Linked DNA regions of Lonchura striata. The protein of the gene in region 1 interacts with the protein of each later gene in a pairwise test. Links are inferred from orthologs where the notes say so. Each region holds a gene or a part of one and is shown in the gene's direction. Other genes may lie near its edges.

The links.
Region 2: the proteins of OPRM1 (region 1) and GJA4 interact in binary tests that used the Homo sapiens proteins (3 or more experiments, as listed by UniProt). The link is inferred for Lonchura striata from reciprocal best matches to the Homo sapiens genes OPRM1 and GJA4.

The regions. Positions count from the first base shown.
Region 1 is NC_134605.1:55,700,985-55,708,175, reverse strand, and holds the start of OPRM1 (mu-type opioid receptor), read left to right. Parts: upstream 1-4,172; coding exon 4,173-4,492; intron 4,493-4,842; exon of another isoform or gene 4,843-4,878; intron 4,879-7,191. UniProt on the Homo sapiens protein: Receptor for endogenous opioids such as beta-endorphin and endomorphin. Receptor for natural and synthetic opioids including morphine, heroin, DAMGO, fentanyl, etorphine, buprenorphin and methadone.
Region 2 is NC_134628.1:3,686,617-3,693,564, forward strand, and holds GJA4 (gap junction alpha-4 protein), read left to right. Parts: upstream 1-4,590; 5' UTR 4,591-4,617; intron 4,618-5,377; 5' UTR 5,378-5,397; coding exon 5,398-6,429; downstream 6,430-6,948. Other genes in the region: GJB3 (gap junction beta-3 protein), read left to right, coding at 1,692-2,477. UniProt on the Homo sapiens protein: One gap junction consists of a cluster of closely packed pairs of transmembrane channels, the connexons, through which materials of low MW diffuse from one cell to a neighboring cell.

The DNA.
Region 1 (7,191 bases):
GGCCCATAACAAATATTTTATTAGTGCATTCTGAGGATTTCCTAGAAGTATATAACTGTATTTAAATTATCTATTTGAATCTCCTTCCATCAGCAAAAGCTGTTTTATGGCCACATAAATATTTTTCCCTACATTACCATCTGTGATTGGGCAGAGTAGTCAGTCTCTGTGGACAGTATTTCTCCAACAGGAGCATCCTTTGTGTATGCCTAACGCTGCCTTTCTGGCATATTAGAGAAATCAGTATTTAGAGTGAGATTGACAGAGATTACTCTTAAATTATGTGATCTGTATCTGCACACGTGCAGGGAGAGACAGAGACAGCACTAGGTGGGGGAACCTAAATAATTCTCTGCCATGGCTACTCCAGAAGCCACCAGAGGAACCACCATCCCAAAAAAAGACCCATCTCCTCACACAGGAAGGAGCCCCAGGACACAAGGGCGGGTAGGAGAACACCAATAATGTCATCAGAGAAATGAGATCTCTCCCTAGACTGTCCCCAGGCTGTCACAGGGGAGCTTCAGCCCCATGGGCCAAGCACTATAACCAACACCACAGGGGAGTAGTTTCCTGGAGCACTTCCCAGACTGTGGGGTGTCACTGCTAGGGATATGGGACACAATATGGGATTCAGGAGAAGAGTATCTTCGGATTGCACAAAAACGTGTCACAAGATGCTTAAGGGAGGAAGAGATACAGGCAGGAAAAGGGAGGGATACAGGCCAGCCACTGGGTACACTAAGGCTGCAGCCTCAGGGCCCCTGTGTCCATGTGCAAACAGCTGGGATGCAGGGAGCAGCTACTGGGCAAACTGTCTGATCCAGATCCTCACTGGGAGAGCCTTATGGTGTACATGTACACACATATATTCCCACTAGGAGATTTTCACCCTGAACAGCCGGAGAGGGAGCAGGGTGAAGCTGTTGGTGCAATTTGTGTTTCTCTTAGTGCTATTTGTGTCTGTGCTGGTCTGTGGGGCCAGATGTGTGTATATGTTTATGTGTGGGTTCTATAGACCTGACTATTGGGAATACAAACCCAGTCTAGCTATTAGCTGGACCTAAGGGCACAGAGCTGCAGCAATCTCTCCTCTGTTGACCTACTGGATTTGGAAAGCCTAACCAATGACCAGGAATTGAACTTGCCAAATACCTAAGAGCTAGAAAATTGTAAGATTGTATGAACTGAACTGTTCCACTTACTATTGTATTAAATTACATCACACATTAACTTCCTCTAAACCCTTATGTCATTAACTACAGTGGTCATTTTTTGGAACATCTTACACTCTTCTCATTCAATATGTAGCTCCAACTCAGCAAAAGTAAAATTATTAGTTTGTCAAGGATAGTTAAGAATATAGCTAACTATCAAGGACAGCTAATAACTACAGTCCTTAACAAAATGTCATGAATCTGCTTTGTAGCCTTGCCAGATAAGGAAATTGAAGACTATCGTCCAGGTTGGAAGAGACCTTAAAGATCATCTAGTCCAACCATCAATGTGGTCCAACTGACACCCTTCAGACTTGTTATGCAAACACAAAAACTATCACTTATAGCTACATTTATTAAATTTAGAAGTGACATTTTATTTTCTACAATGGCAGAAGAACTCAGAGATTATGAAATTTAAAGTACTTATTTTCAACTAATGGATATAGTATTTGCCACTCTGCAGATTGCCCTTATCTGCAGAGTCACTGTCACAATCTAGAAAGGCAACACGGGTGATCTGTGAATAAAGAAATAATGCAAATGACTAAGACTGCTTCATTTCTATGAAGAAGGAAAAAGCTGAACTACTACCAACAAGAAGTAATTACTGGTCTTCAATTTCACAAACACCCTTTCACCAGAATCTTGGCTACACAGTACTATACTATCTGAAATTATTTGAAGAAAGGGTCTCGCACATTATTACAGCCAAAATGACCTTTACCATCTGAAAGCATTATTCTAAGCACTTATTTCACATTGCCTATGTCCTTTGAAATAAGACTTGTAATAACTTTCCAAAGAGGTGCATTCAACTATCACTCCCCTACCTTGAAAGTTTGTTTAATGAGGCCTGTCATAAACAGGCTCAACTCCCAGGGCTTTTTGCCAGCCCTCTCCTCATCCTAAGTTTTCATCTGCACCTGCCAAAAGTTTGATTTATTTAAGCATAATACTTTTTTTTGTGCAATCACTTTTCTGTGAGCAGTCATAAAGATGTGTATTATAGCTCAATTTACCTCAGCATCTGTTTTTAAGGGTTTTTTAAATGACATTTTAATGTAATTTTTAAGTCATTTTTAATGCACAAAAGGGCCTTCTGATAGTGAGGATGATACAAACCTGGCTATGACACAAGATACAGAATGGATCTCCTGGCAGCCTTGATTTTTGCTCCCCAACTTCCCCATCCCTTCCACAGCCAGACACAGTTGTATTCAAAGGGCTAAATACTAATTGTGTACTTGTGGCTTACCTTAAACTCTTCTGATGGCTTTGGTGCAACAAAGGGCAAGCACAGAGAGAGGCTCCCACACTCTGTGCACATACCCAGAGATTAAAGTCTCTGAGAAAAGCCCAGTTTTAAAGCCTTGTTCCTCCTGCTCTGTGTATGACTATACATGCAGGGGATAAAGAAGCAGTGTCTTTGACCACGTAAAATCTCTGAGTTCTTGCTTTCATTTGTCCATAGCTATTTCCAGAGACAAAAATATCTCCTATTCTAAAGCTCCTCCTAAATGCAATGCTAAATGGGCTCTCTCCTACTCAATGAACGATGATGAAAATACTCTCTCTGGCCATGAAGCAATACATGCTATCTACTGAAAGTGCCCATTAATAGCTTACTTGTCCTTCTCCTTCCATTTTCACTTTAGAATGAAAAAAGGAATACAAATTCTCCAGATCTATATCCCTCTCGAAGTCCAGTGATGCCCCTTTCCCATTCCCTCTTCTTCCTCCCCACAAATTATCAGATAGACATCGAAAGAGTGTGTGGTCAATTCCGCTACTGTTACCTGCCCTGAGCAGCACTGGTTCCCCCTGCTTGTGGCACAAGCACATACTTATACTAAAATGTCCAGGATCTTTCTCTTAGGCTGCAACTTGTTTCTTCTCTACTTTTGTCATTATCACTCTTGAAATAGCGGGAGGTGCTCCGCGCAGGGTGAGCAGAATAAGTGCGCATCCACAATGAGGCAGTGGGAGCAATCACTGCTACTCTGTCACCTTCCTGTTCACCAGGAGATATTTTTTCTGCCTTGCCAGGGAGCTCTTCTGATTTCATTAGTGAGACAGTAAATGAGCTAAGTCCTAATAATCAGCCATCAGGCAGTCCCGCGCCTCTGCACGCATTTGAAACAACTGAACACGAAAAGGTACCGGTGAAAACAAGCGGTGTGCGAACTAAGCACCCAGTAACATTGAGTGCACAGCTTAAGAACGGTTTTGATGTCGTTCTTATTTGTGATATCACATCCGATAACAATCACACCAACCAGGGGAGAACATCCTTGGAGCTCTGAACAGAAGGTCCTCTGAAAATCCTGAGGATCCATGAGATCCGAGTCATTTCTAAAGGACAATTCTGTTCACAACCACCCCTCCGAAAGTGTTGCCCTAAAGTTCGTCACATTTTATTACAAGGTTCTGTTATCTCTATAATCACTGAGGACATCGTTTTGCCAAGATCCCTGTCTTACTACGATAATCTCTCGCGCATCGATCTCCTCTCTGCACCGGCCTTTATCTCGCCAAGTCAGTCTCCGCCGGTTTTGTCTTTCCGGCGCTTGCCACCGATGCCCGCGGCTCTGGGGAACGAACATGTTAAGCGCCTTGCCTTCAAGTGCCACCTGCAGGGGAGGCGCACACCGCCGGCGCTGCCCCCCGCAGGTGCGCCCCGCTCGCCGCTGGGGGCGGCCGCCACCGCGTCCCGCCGGCCTGGGAGGAGCGGCGGCGGGCAGCGGGCGCGGAGGCGGCTCCCGCCGCTCCTGCGGACACGGCCCCTCCTCCCGGCCCGCCCCGCCCGCCTCACACATGTGCCCGCACCCAGCGGCGGGGCGCACCGTCGGGGCGGGCGGGTGCTGTCGCCTCGCCGACACCGCGGCAGCAGCGCGGCGCGCCGGGCGTCCCTCGGGCGTGGGGAGCGGGCGGCCGCGCTGACAGCGCTGCGCCATGGCTGTCGCCTACCTGCTGGGCAACGGGTCCGCGCCGCTCCTGGCCGGCGCCCTGGAGGTCCCGTTCGCCGCCAACGCCTCCGCCTGCCGCCCGCCCGGGCCGCCCTGCCCGGCCTGGGGCAACGCCTCGGCGGCGCTGGGCTGGAACCGCTCCGAGCCCTGCGGCGGCGGCAATGGCAGCGCCGGCGGCGGCGGGCCCTGCGCGCCCACGGGCGGCGGCCCCTCCGTGGTTACCGCCATCGCCATCATGGCCCTCTACTCCGTGGTCTGCGTCGTGGGGCTCTTCGGCAACTTCTTGGTCATGTATGTCATCGTCAGGTGAGTGCCTGCCTGCCCCGCCCCGCTGCCCACGGCCGCTGCCGTCGGGGCGGAACCCCGCCGCCCGGAGCCGGGATGCGGGACGGTGTCCCGGCGGGGATGCTGCGGTCCCCCTCCGCCGGGCAGCGCGCTGAGGGGTGCGGACGGGCGCCGGTCCCCGCGGGAAGGGGAAGGAGGCTTTTGATAAAGAGCCGGAGCGGGTGACGAGGGAAGAGAAACTTGAGGTGGAGCAGTGAGGGCCGGCCGGTCCGTCAGAAGCCGCTGCGCGTCCGAGAATGTTCTAAAGACCCTCCGACCCCAGCTGCCCACCTCTGCGAGTGGCTCTGGCCAACGGGGCCTAAATCCCGTACCTGTGCCCTAAGGAGCGAGGATTTAAAGAGACTGTGGCCACTGCCTGTGAGCGTGTACGGGTACGGGGTGGTACACGGATAGCCGGCACGCATCCACCTGTCTTTCCACCCACCTCTCCCAAATGCACGAACAAAATGTAAATGGCACTGTGGTTAAACGCTTCCTGTGGCCGTGTTTGGAGATCCTCTGCCTCATATCTAGATCTATATGTGTATATTGAAATACATTTATATATGTGTATAGACATACATGCGTATACACGTGTATAAATACGCATGCAGTGATGCGACCGCTTTCTGTAATCCCGGCGTTCCGGCTGTGCTGCGGCACTTCGCAACTTTCTCGCCCGCAAGAGAAAAAGCCCCAGTGGGGCTCTTACAAATCAGATCACGCGCGATAAATCCATTGCCCGTAAATGAGCGGAAAACGAGTGAGAGAGATGAACAGAGGCTCCCTTGCCGGCCTGGCCGCGGAGCCGGCAGGTGGCATCCGTGGGGGAACACTGCCACCTCCCGGGAGCGACGGGCCGGGGGCGCGACAGGACGGGCCCGACTGAGCTCCTCTCCCTTCGCGGCTGCTCGTCGTTTCCAAACCAAGCATCCCTTGAGCCCTGGAGAGCTCAGCGGGCGCTTTTAAGGGAGGAGATAGGGGTAGCCCAGGGGCGCTCTCCGTTCCTATGGAGGCAGCCCCAGCACTTCCATTTCTCCTCCTCGTCCGGAGCGTCCGTTCTGCCTTTAAGCTCTGCGTTCCCCGAGAAGTCGGGCCCGCAGGAACCGGGGCTGTCTCTTGGCATCCCTGGTGCACCAGCGGCAGCGGGCGGCTTTGTGGCGTGTGTGTGCAGCGCAAGCTGTGCCAGCTGTAGAAAGCTGGGGCTGAGGGTCGCGGTCACGGTGGGGTATTGCAGCAGCATGGAGGATGCGGCACGTGTTAGGGATGTCACTGCACAGCCTGTGCATCTGGTAGACCCAGTGGGAACACAAGTGATATCCATCAGTGGTTCAGTCTAGAGCAGTTCAGAAGCCTTGTAGGTTTAACTATGCTTTAAAGGCTACATACACAGAGCTGGGGAGATTCTCTTCTGTCTTGTGGTTTTGGTCAGTCTGAAACTCAAGCTGTCTGTGTGAGGATACATCTGCAGAAAGGCTTCTGAGTGGGGGCATGACTGCAATCACTGTAGCAGTGTTGAATGCATTCCTCTGGGAGGAAAAGCAGATGCACAGTGTAACAGAGACAGGATAGCTGTCAGCAGAGAAATATGCTCCACCTTGCCCCTGGAATTATGTATTTATTATCCTGGGCATAACCCTTACTAGGTTCATATTTCTTACAGTAATTAATTGAATTACACTTGCACCACAAAGCCAAATCTAATGAGGTACTTGTATTTAGATTCCTATCTAAAGAAAGCCTTTTTCTCTGAGATGACAGCTTACAAACAAAAGCCAGAAGCAATAGCAGAAAGCAAAAATATATTTTCATTTTACAGAGGAAAACAAAAATTAAGTGGCTTGTCCAAACCATCAGGATTGTTATGGCAAACCCCACATCTCCTTTGCAAGAACAGCTTTTGGTGTGACAGAATTTGTTCCCAATTAACACCACACAGCTGTTTAGCAGTTAGGATGACAAGGAATTTACATGCTAATGGCTGAATAGGATCTGTGGCTCAAGCAACATAAAAATACATTCTCTTTCTGTGTTTCTCTGCACCTGTCGTGTATCTGGTCAGCAATACAGGACTTAGTGATTGCATTTCCTGCTGCAAGCTATACTAGCTTGAAAGTGTTTCAAATTAGAATATGAGCCTATGAAATGGTGACCCTATATGTCCACATTCGTGCCTCCTTTCATCCAACTACATGTAAGAGGCCAAAGTTTCACTGGATTGAATTTGTCACCATATAGAACTCCCCTTCATTTGCCTTTCCCATGCCTGCTCAGGAAGGACAAAACATTGATCTTCAAATTAATTGCGAGGGAAATTGAGGCTACTAAAAATTAACATTTTTGAATAATATTGGTATCTAGTTTGTCTTGAAAATACTAGGAGTTGGGAGGTAGGTGCTTAGATGTTTGAAACTGTCCTACTCACCTTTCACCCCAGTGAAAGCAACAGTGACTTCAGATCAAGTGTGCTGCATGCTAACATCTCATGCTTGGTTTCTTTGGAAATAGTTTTAAAATAATTATATCATTCTTATAAATATTATTACTCTTAAAAATTTTCCACATGAGGCAAATCCAGGGGTTTGGAGCCAGAGCTGTGCAAGTGCTGGCCTGAAATGGAACTATCATTATCACTCGACAATGTCACCCTGCTATCTCTGCTGGGGCAAACAGAGGTCAGA
Region 2 (6,948 bases), on another chromosome or scaffold:
GGTTGGCATCCCGGGGGCTGGCAAGGGTGCCGGGCTCTGTGGGAGGCAAACCAGCACTGCCGACACAGCTGAGCACACCTGAGCACTGCTCCTGCTCTGCCCGGCTGCCACCCGGCACTGGGGAGCCCCGGGGGCTCACGCTGTGTGCCACGGGGACTGGCACGGAGCTTGGCACGGAGAGCACAGCTCCTTCCTGCTCCGCTGCGGGTCCATGACCGGAGCCGGCGCTGGGCTGAACCGGGCACACGGGTGCTGGGCAGGTGGGTTTTGGGCAGCTGGGTGCTGGGTTGGTCTCACTGGCAGCAGGGATGGGGTCATGGGTGAATTGGCAGGCTGGTGAGGGGGCACAGGCTCTGGGGGCATGGAGGTTCCATCCACGCCAGCTTTTATGGGCAAACCAGTAGTTCCCCTCTCCCAGTTTTAAATCCAAGGGTTGGGTGGGAACACAGTGATTGCTCCCCACCCTGACCCCCGCCAAGGATTTGCCAGGGAGGAAGATCTGCTTTTAGACGGGGCAGTGAGAGAAGGTGTGTGGCCATGGGCAGAGGCACAGCCCTGGCACTTGGCACACGCTGCCAGGGACCCCAGCCTGGAGCCACTCAGCCCAGCCACCCTTCCCAGTGTGTCCCTGGGACAGAAGTGTGGGAGCACAGCCACAGGTTCGTGGCTTGCTGCGGGTGGCCGTGGGCAAGGACAGGCTCCCAGAGTGCTCCATGGGCTCTGGGCAGTGCTCCAGGTTCTGTTCCGTCCCCACAGCCCTGGGACACCACAGTGCACCGGATGAGAGGACTCTGATCACCAGCCCGCCATCGCACCCTGGCTATGCCCCGTGCTGGACACTTCCCACCCCACAGCCCCCGGTGAGCGGGGAAGGAGCCTGAGCCTCCTCCAGGTACGTCTCAGAAGGCACCGGGTGGGCAACAGGCAGCGCAAATTCCTTAAAAGTGAGAGCAACCCAGTGTTCTGGGAATCCCTTTGCAGGGCAGGCACCTTCACAGCCCAGAGGGTTGTAAAAACCACCTGGGTTTGTAAATCCAGGTGTAGTAAAGCTCCCGGTCAGGCTTGGCGTGTCTCCTCACACAGGGCAGCCCCAGGCTGAGCTGCAGAGCCGGTTTGGCCGTCGGGTCCTCCGGCGTTGCTGCCGGAGCAGGAGCAGAGCGCTGGCCAGGGTGACATGCTGGTGACACACGCAGACTGTGACACACGCACACTGTGACACACACAGACTCTCACTTTCTGTAGCCCCGCTGTCACCTGTGTTTGGGCTGCCTCAGGTATCACCTGGGAGACACAAAACAGGTCCCTGGCACCCCAGCTGGGAGAGGAGCAGCCATTTCCCCTTTGGCTGATGATCCTGGCCTGCTCCTGCAGAAAGTGCTGCCAGTTTGCACCAGCACACACAAAAAAAAGAATCAGGCACAGAGCTGGTGGCAGGGACTTGGCCAGGTGGCTCATCCCTGACAGCAAAGGCTCCGTCAGAAGGAAGTGCAGATAGACTGAGTCACCTCTGCCACCAGGAGTGTGGGAGGATGGGCTTTACTGTCTGCAAGGGTGAAGAGCCCCCGTCCTACATGAGTGTAATGTGGTGGGGGAGAGGGTTGAGTGTCAGCGAGAGATGTGCAGCCCAGTGGTGTCTCCCACTGCTCCTTCTGCCTCTCCAGGTTGGGTGACTCTGGTCTCCCTCAGCTGCCATGGATTGGAAAACGCTGCAGGCGCTGCTCAGCGGGGTCAACAAGTACTCCACAGCCTTCAGCCGCATCTGGCTCTCCATGGTCTTTGTCTTCCGTGTGCTGGTTTATGTGGTGGCAGCCGAGAAGGTCTGGGGCGACGAGCAGAAGGATTTCGATTGCAACACGCGGCAGCCGGGCTGCACCAACGTGTGTTATGACCACTTCTTCCCCATCTCCCACATCCGCCTCTGGGCCCTGCAGCTCATCTTTGTCACTTGTCCTTCCCTCCTGGTCATCATGCACGTGGCCTACAGGGAGGACCGCGAGAGGAAGAACCGGGAGAAGAATGGAGAGAATTGCCCCAAGCTCTACAGCAACACGGGCAAGAAGCACGGCGGGCTGTGGTGGACCTACCTGTTCAGCCTCATCTTCAAGCTTATCATAGAGATCCTGTTCCTCTACCTCCTCCACAAGATGTGGGACAGCTTCGATTTGCCACGGCTGGTCAAGTGCGCCAACGTGGATCCCTGTCCCAACACCGTGGACTGCTACATCGCCCGGCCAACCGAGAAAAGGGTCTTCACCTATTTCATGGTTGGAGCCTCCTCCATCTGCATTGTCCTCACCGTCTGTGAGATCTTCTACCTCATCTTCAAGCGAGCTGTCCAGAGGGCAAGGAAATGGAGGAAATCCACCAAGCGCTCCGTCAGCTACAGCAAGGCCTCCACCTGCCACTGTCACATGAAGTCAGAGGAGAAGGACAACAAGTCCCAGCCCAGGTGTGTGGCAGCCCTAACTGCTGTCTGAAGGGTGCTGGGAAGAGTGGTGGGGGAAAGTGTCCTGGTATGTGCCAGGGATGGTTGGAACCACGGGTGACCACCAGACTCTTCAGCCAGGACCTCAGTGGCTGTAAGGGGAGGGGGACACATCCCTGGGAACTCTCCTGCTTGGGATCACGGGCACATCCCTGGCTGTCCCAGGGGTGTGGACACGCTCGGTGGCAGGTGGGTGCTGGCTGTCCATGGCCATGCCTGAGTGTGTCCGTTCTTCCCACAGAGGAGAAGAGCTGTGAGCACACCCGTCCCAGCCGGTTCACATTCCCCTCAACTTGGCTTTTCCAGCCTGCCAAATCCTCAAACCCTCAAGAGTCAACCCATGTGAAAAATGACTAAACCCAGTGAAGTAATGTCCCCGGAGAGAGACCCATGGGTGCCTGAGCAGACACAGGTAAGGCAAGGACAGCTCTGGAGCTCTGCAGGTGGCAGTGCCACAAACATGGACATCACAGCAGCACACAGACCCTCAGTGTCCCGCAGCTTCTCTTGGGTCCTGCAGCTCCTCTGCTCCCATGCTGGGTGTGAGTGCACCCAGCTGGTGCCCAGCCAAGGGCTGGTGTCATGCCAGTCCTCCCAGCTCACTGCTCCTCACACATGCGCTGCTTTCTTACGTGCCAAGAAACCAAAGGAATTCTGGGCTCCGTGGCCAGGGCTCTCTTCATGCACCCAAAGTAATGACAAAGGACCAGGGCTCCAGTCTGTTAGCAATTGTTCTGCTGGCCCAGTTTGCCCGGTTTGCCATTTCTCCCCCTTGGCTCACACAAGCACCAAGCCATGTTCTGCCCAAAAGCCCTTGCTGGCTCTGCTGCTTCCCTTGGTGCCTCTGTGTCCCCCCTCACCTCAGATGCACATCACACACGGATCCAAAGGGCCAATAAATGTCGTGTTTGGAGACACCAAGATCTGCTCTGCACGCTGGAAACTGGGGGCCTGGTGAGGGCAGAAGACGTGGATTTGCAGAGGTTCCTCAGGAGCCCACAGCCAGGCCCTTCTCATCCGCCTGAGCTGGGCATTGCTTGAGCCCACAGCCGAGCTCACGTCCGCCCGTTCCGCCTCTCCCAGCCTGTCACGCGTCGTTAAACTTTAATTCAGCAGAACCTCACGCTGGCCCCCAAGGAAATCAAGGAGGGATGAGCATCAATTATTTACTAAACCTTGATAAATATTACAATAAATAGAAATGATTTCCATTTAATCTCTCCTTAAGCAGCACTAGCGGAGGGTCCGCTGTTCCCAGCTCTGCTCAGCCCGCCCGTGTTTCCGAGCCCCACGAGCGTGTTGGGGCGTGCTGAGACCCCCGACAGCAAAGCTCTGCCTGGAACCTGCGTGGGAGTTCCCGGCCGGGCTCCGGTGGGGCTCATCCCGAGAACCGACGGGACGCGGGATCGCAACTGGGCTCCGGTGGGGCTCAGCCCGGGAGCCTGCGGGACGCGGGATGGGGGCCAGGCACGGTGGGGCTCATCCCAGGAACCGGCAGGGCCCGTCCCGGGAACCGGCGGGACGCGGGATGGGGGCCAGGCACGGTGGGGCTCATCCAGAACCGGAGGGATGCGGGACCGCAGCCGGCTCCGGTGGGGCTCCAGCACCACCCAGCGCCCGCCGCGCCGCACGGACCCTCGGGGGCAAACCACGAGCGCCGCAGCCGCGGTCCGGCCGGGGCGGAAAAGGACGGAACATCCCCGGGACACCGGGCGGGGAACAGAGCGTCCCCGAAACGCCCCGCCGGGCAGGGAATTAAACATCTCCCGGACACGGGTCAGGGGACGGAGCATCCCGGGGTCTCTGGCTCAGCGGGTTTGCCCAGTGGCGGACCCGCAGATGAAAGTGCGGGAGGCAGCCGGGCTCCACACCGTTGCCCCCCAGCTTCGGCCCCGACGGGTCTGGCCGCCCCCGCTCCGCCCGCCGGGGCCGCCCCCTCGTCCGGGGGCCACGGGAGGGGGCGGCCCCGCACACCTGCGGCTCGGCCCGGCCGGTACTAAGCCCCAGCCCCCAGTTTCCTGCCCACGCTCCTCCTCCGGCTTCCCCGGGCCCCCAATAACCGGAGCCACCCGGTCCGACCCCTCGCACTCAGCGCGGCCCGAGCCCGGCGGGACGTGCCCGGCGCGGCGGAGGTGAGAGCGGGCACCGGGCTGGGGACGGGGCACCCCGCTGCCGGGGGTTCCTTTAACCGCACAGCCGGCACTTCTCTGCTTAATTAGCAGCGGTTAATGAGGAGCCGGGGCTGTGGCCGCCCCGTCCCTCCTCGCAGCCGGGCTGAGCGCCCGCGGGGTGCGGGCTCGGCTCCCCAGGATCCCGGGAGAGGCAGCAGGGTGGTGAGCGGTGCTCGGGATCTCCTGGCGATGGGAGGGACTGGGGCTGGGTGTCCATCGCCCCGCAGCAAGGGAGCCGGTGAGGTGTTGTCCGTTCAGTTTGGGGTGAGCCCTGAATCGGCTTTGGGGCGGCAGATGTACCCCAAGGGGTTGTGCTTTCCCTCTAGACCATCCTGCTCTCTGCTTTTTGGGAAAGCCAGGGCAGCAGCAAATTTGTGAGCTCCCATAGTGCCTCCTCGCCCTGAGCTCCCAAAACCCCACTGGCTTCAGGCTGTCCTTGGAGTGGCCAGGAGAGCCACGAGCTGTGGGTGCTGCTGGGAGGGGAGAATCCCTGTCTCTCCCAGCCCTCGGTTCCTGCACTGTGTAGGAGGAGCCCTCTGGGGCTCCTAAACGCTGCCTGGAACCCTCCCTCCCTCAGAAGTGGGATGTTCCTCAGAGGGTTTGCTGGGCCAGTCTGCAGAGCAGCTATATCCTGAAAAAGCACGGAGTTTAAGTGGTCACATCTGCCCTGTGCTCCCCAGCATGGAAACAGGGAACTGACGTGTCTTCTCTCTGCTGGCAGAGGCAAAGGCTTCCTAGAAGATGGGTGACTGGGAATTCCTGCAGAAACTGCTGGACCAAGTCCAGGAGCATTCGACGGTGATCGGGAAGATCTGGCTCACCGTGCTCTTCATCTTCCGCATCCTCATCCTGGGCCTGGCCGGCGAGTCTGTGTGGGGGGACGAGCAGTCGGATTTCGTGTGTAACACCAAGCAGCCAGGCTGCACCAACGTCTGCTATGACAAAGCCTTCCCCATTTCCCACATCCGCTACTGGGTGCTCCAGTTCCTCTTTGTCAGCACCCCGACCCTGATTTACCTGGGCCACGTTGTCTATCTCTCCCGCAAGGAGGAGAAGCTGAAGGAGAAGGAGAGCAAGCTTCGGGCTGTCCACAGCAAGGACCCGAAGATTGAGGAGGCCCTGGCAGACCTGGAGAAGAAGATGTCCAAGATCTACATGACAGAGAGTGGGCGGCTGAAGATCCGGGGGGCGCTGATGTGGACGTACATCACCAGTGTCATCTGCAAGAGCATCTTTGAGGCCGGTTTCCTCGTGGGCCAGTGGTACCTGTATGGCTTCTCCATGGTGCCCCGCTACGTGTGCAAGAGGGACCCGTGCCCCCATCAGGTGGATTGCTTCATTTCCCGCCCCACCGAAAAGAGCATCTTCATCATCTTCATGCTGGTGATGGGCCTGATCTCCTTAATCCTGAACCTCCTGGAGCTCTTCCACCTCTGCTGCAAGAACCTGCTCAGCAACATCAAGAAGGTGTCGGGGCCAGCTGGACCGAGCCAGGACACCTTTGTGGATGCCATGGTCTCGAGTCCCTACTCACCCAAGCACTATCCCTTCCTGCCCATGGCCGAGAGCCACGCGCCCTCCTACCAGACCTACAACAAGCTCTCCAGTGAGCAGAACTGGGCCAACTACCGCAACGAGGAGAACCTGGCACTGGGCAGCGGCAGCAGGCCCCTGTCGGACCCCTACGCCCCCGGGCCTGCTGAAGCCTCCGCCCCGGAGGAGAAGCCGGGCAGCCGGCCCGGGAGCTCAGCCTCCAAAAAGCAATACGTGTAGTGCCGGGCTGGCCCGGCTGGCAGGGGGACATCCCTCAGTCCCTTGTGCCTGCAAAGGTGCTGGCTGCGGGCAGGCAGCTGCCTCCTGCCTGGTTCTGAGCTCTACACATTCCCCTCTGGAGGCTCCGGAGACCTGCCCACCCTGGGATGGGATGCTCGGGAGCGCGGCCGTGGAGCGCAGCCTCCGCTCTCGCCGCTTTTCCCTACAGACCCTGCAAGGAAGGAAACTGCACCGAGTTCCCCGGGACGCCGTGTCCCGTGTGCCTTGCCGTGGGAAAGGGAGAAAGCCCCGGAGCCACGCCGTGGAACAGGCTGTCCCCGAGGCCGTGGCTGGAGGCTGCTGGCCACTGGGAGCTGCAGTTCAGCCAGACCCCAGAGCCACGGCCAGCACGGAGCCAGGAGAGCGGCCGTGGGAAGCTGCTCCTCTCCTGCCTCCTCACGGAGCCGGGGACTGCCGGGAAGAGCTGGGCTGGGGCAGCGCCGACTGATCCTGGCCAGCAGCCCCATCCCCTTCCAGCAG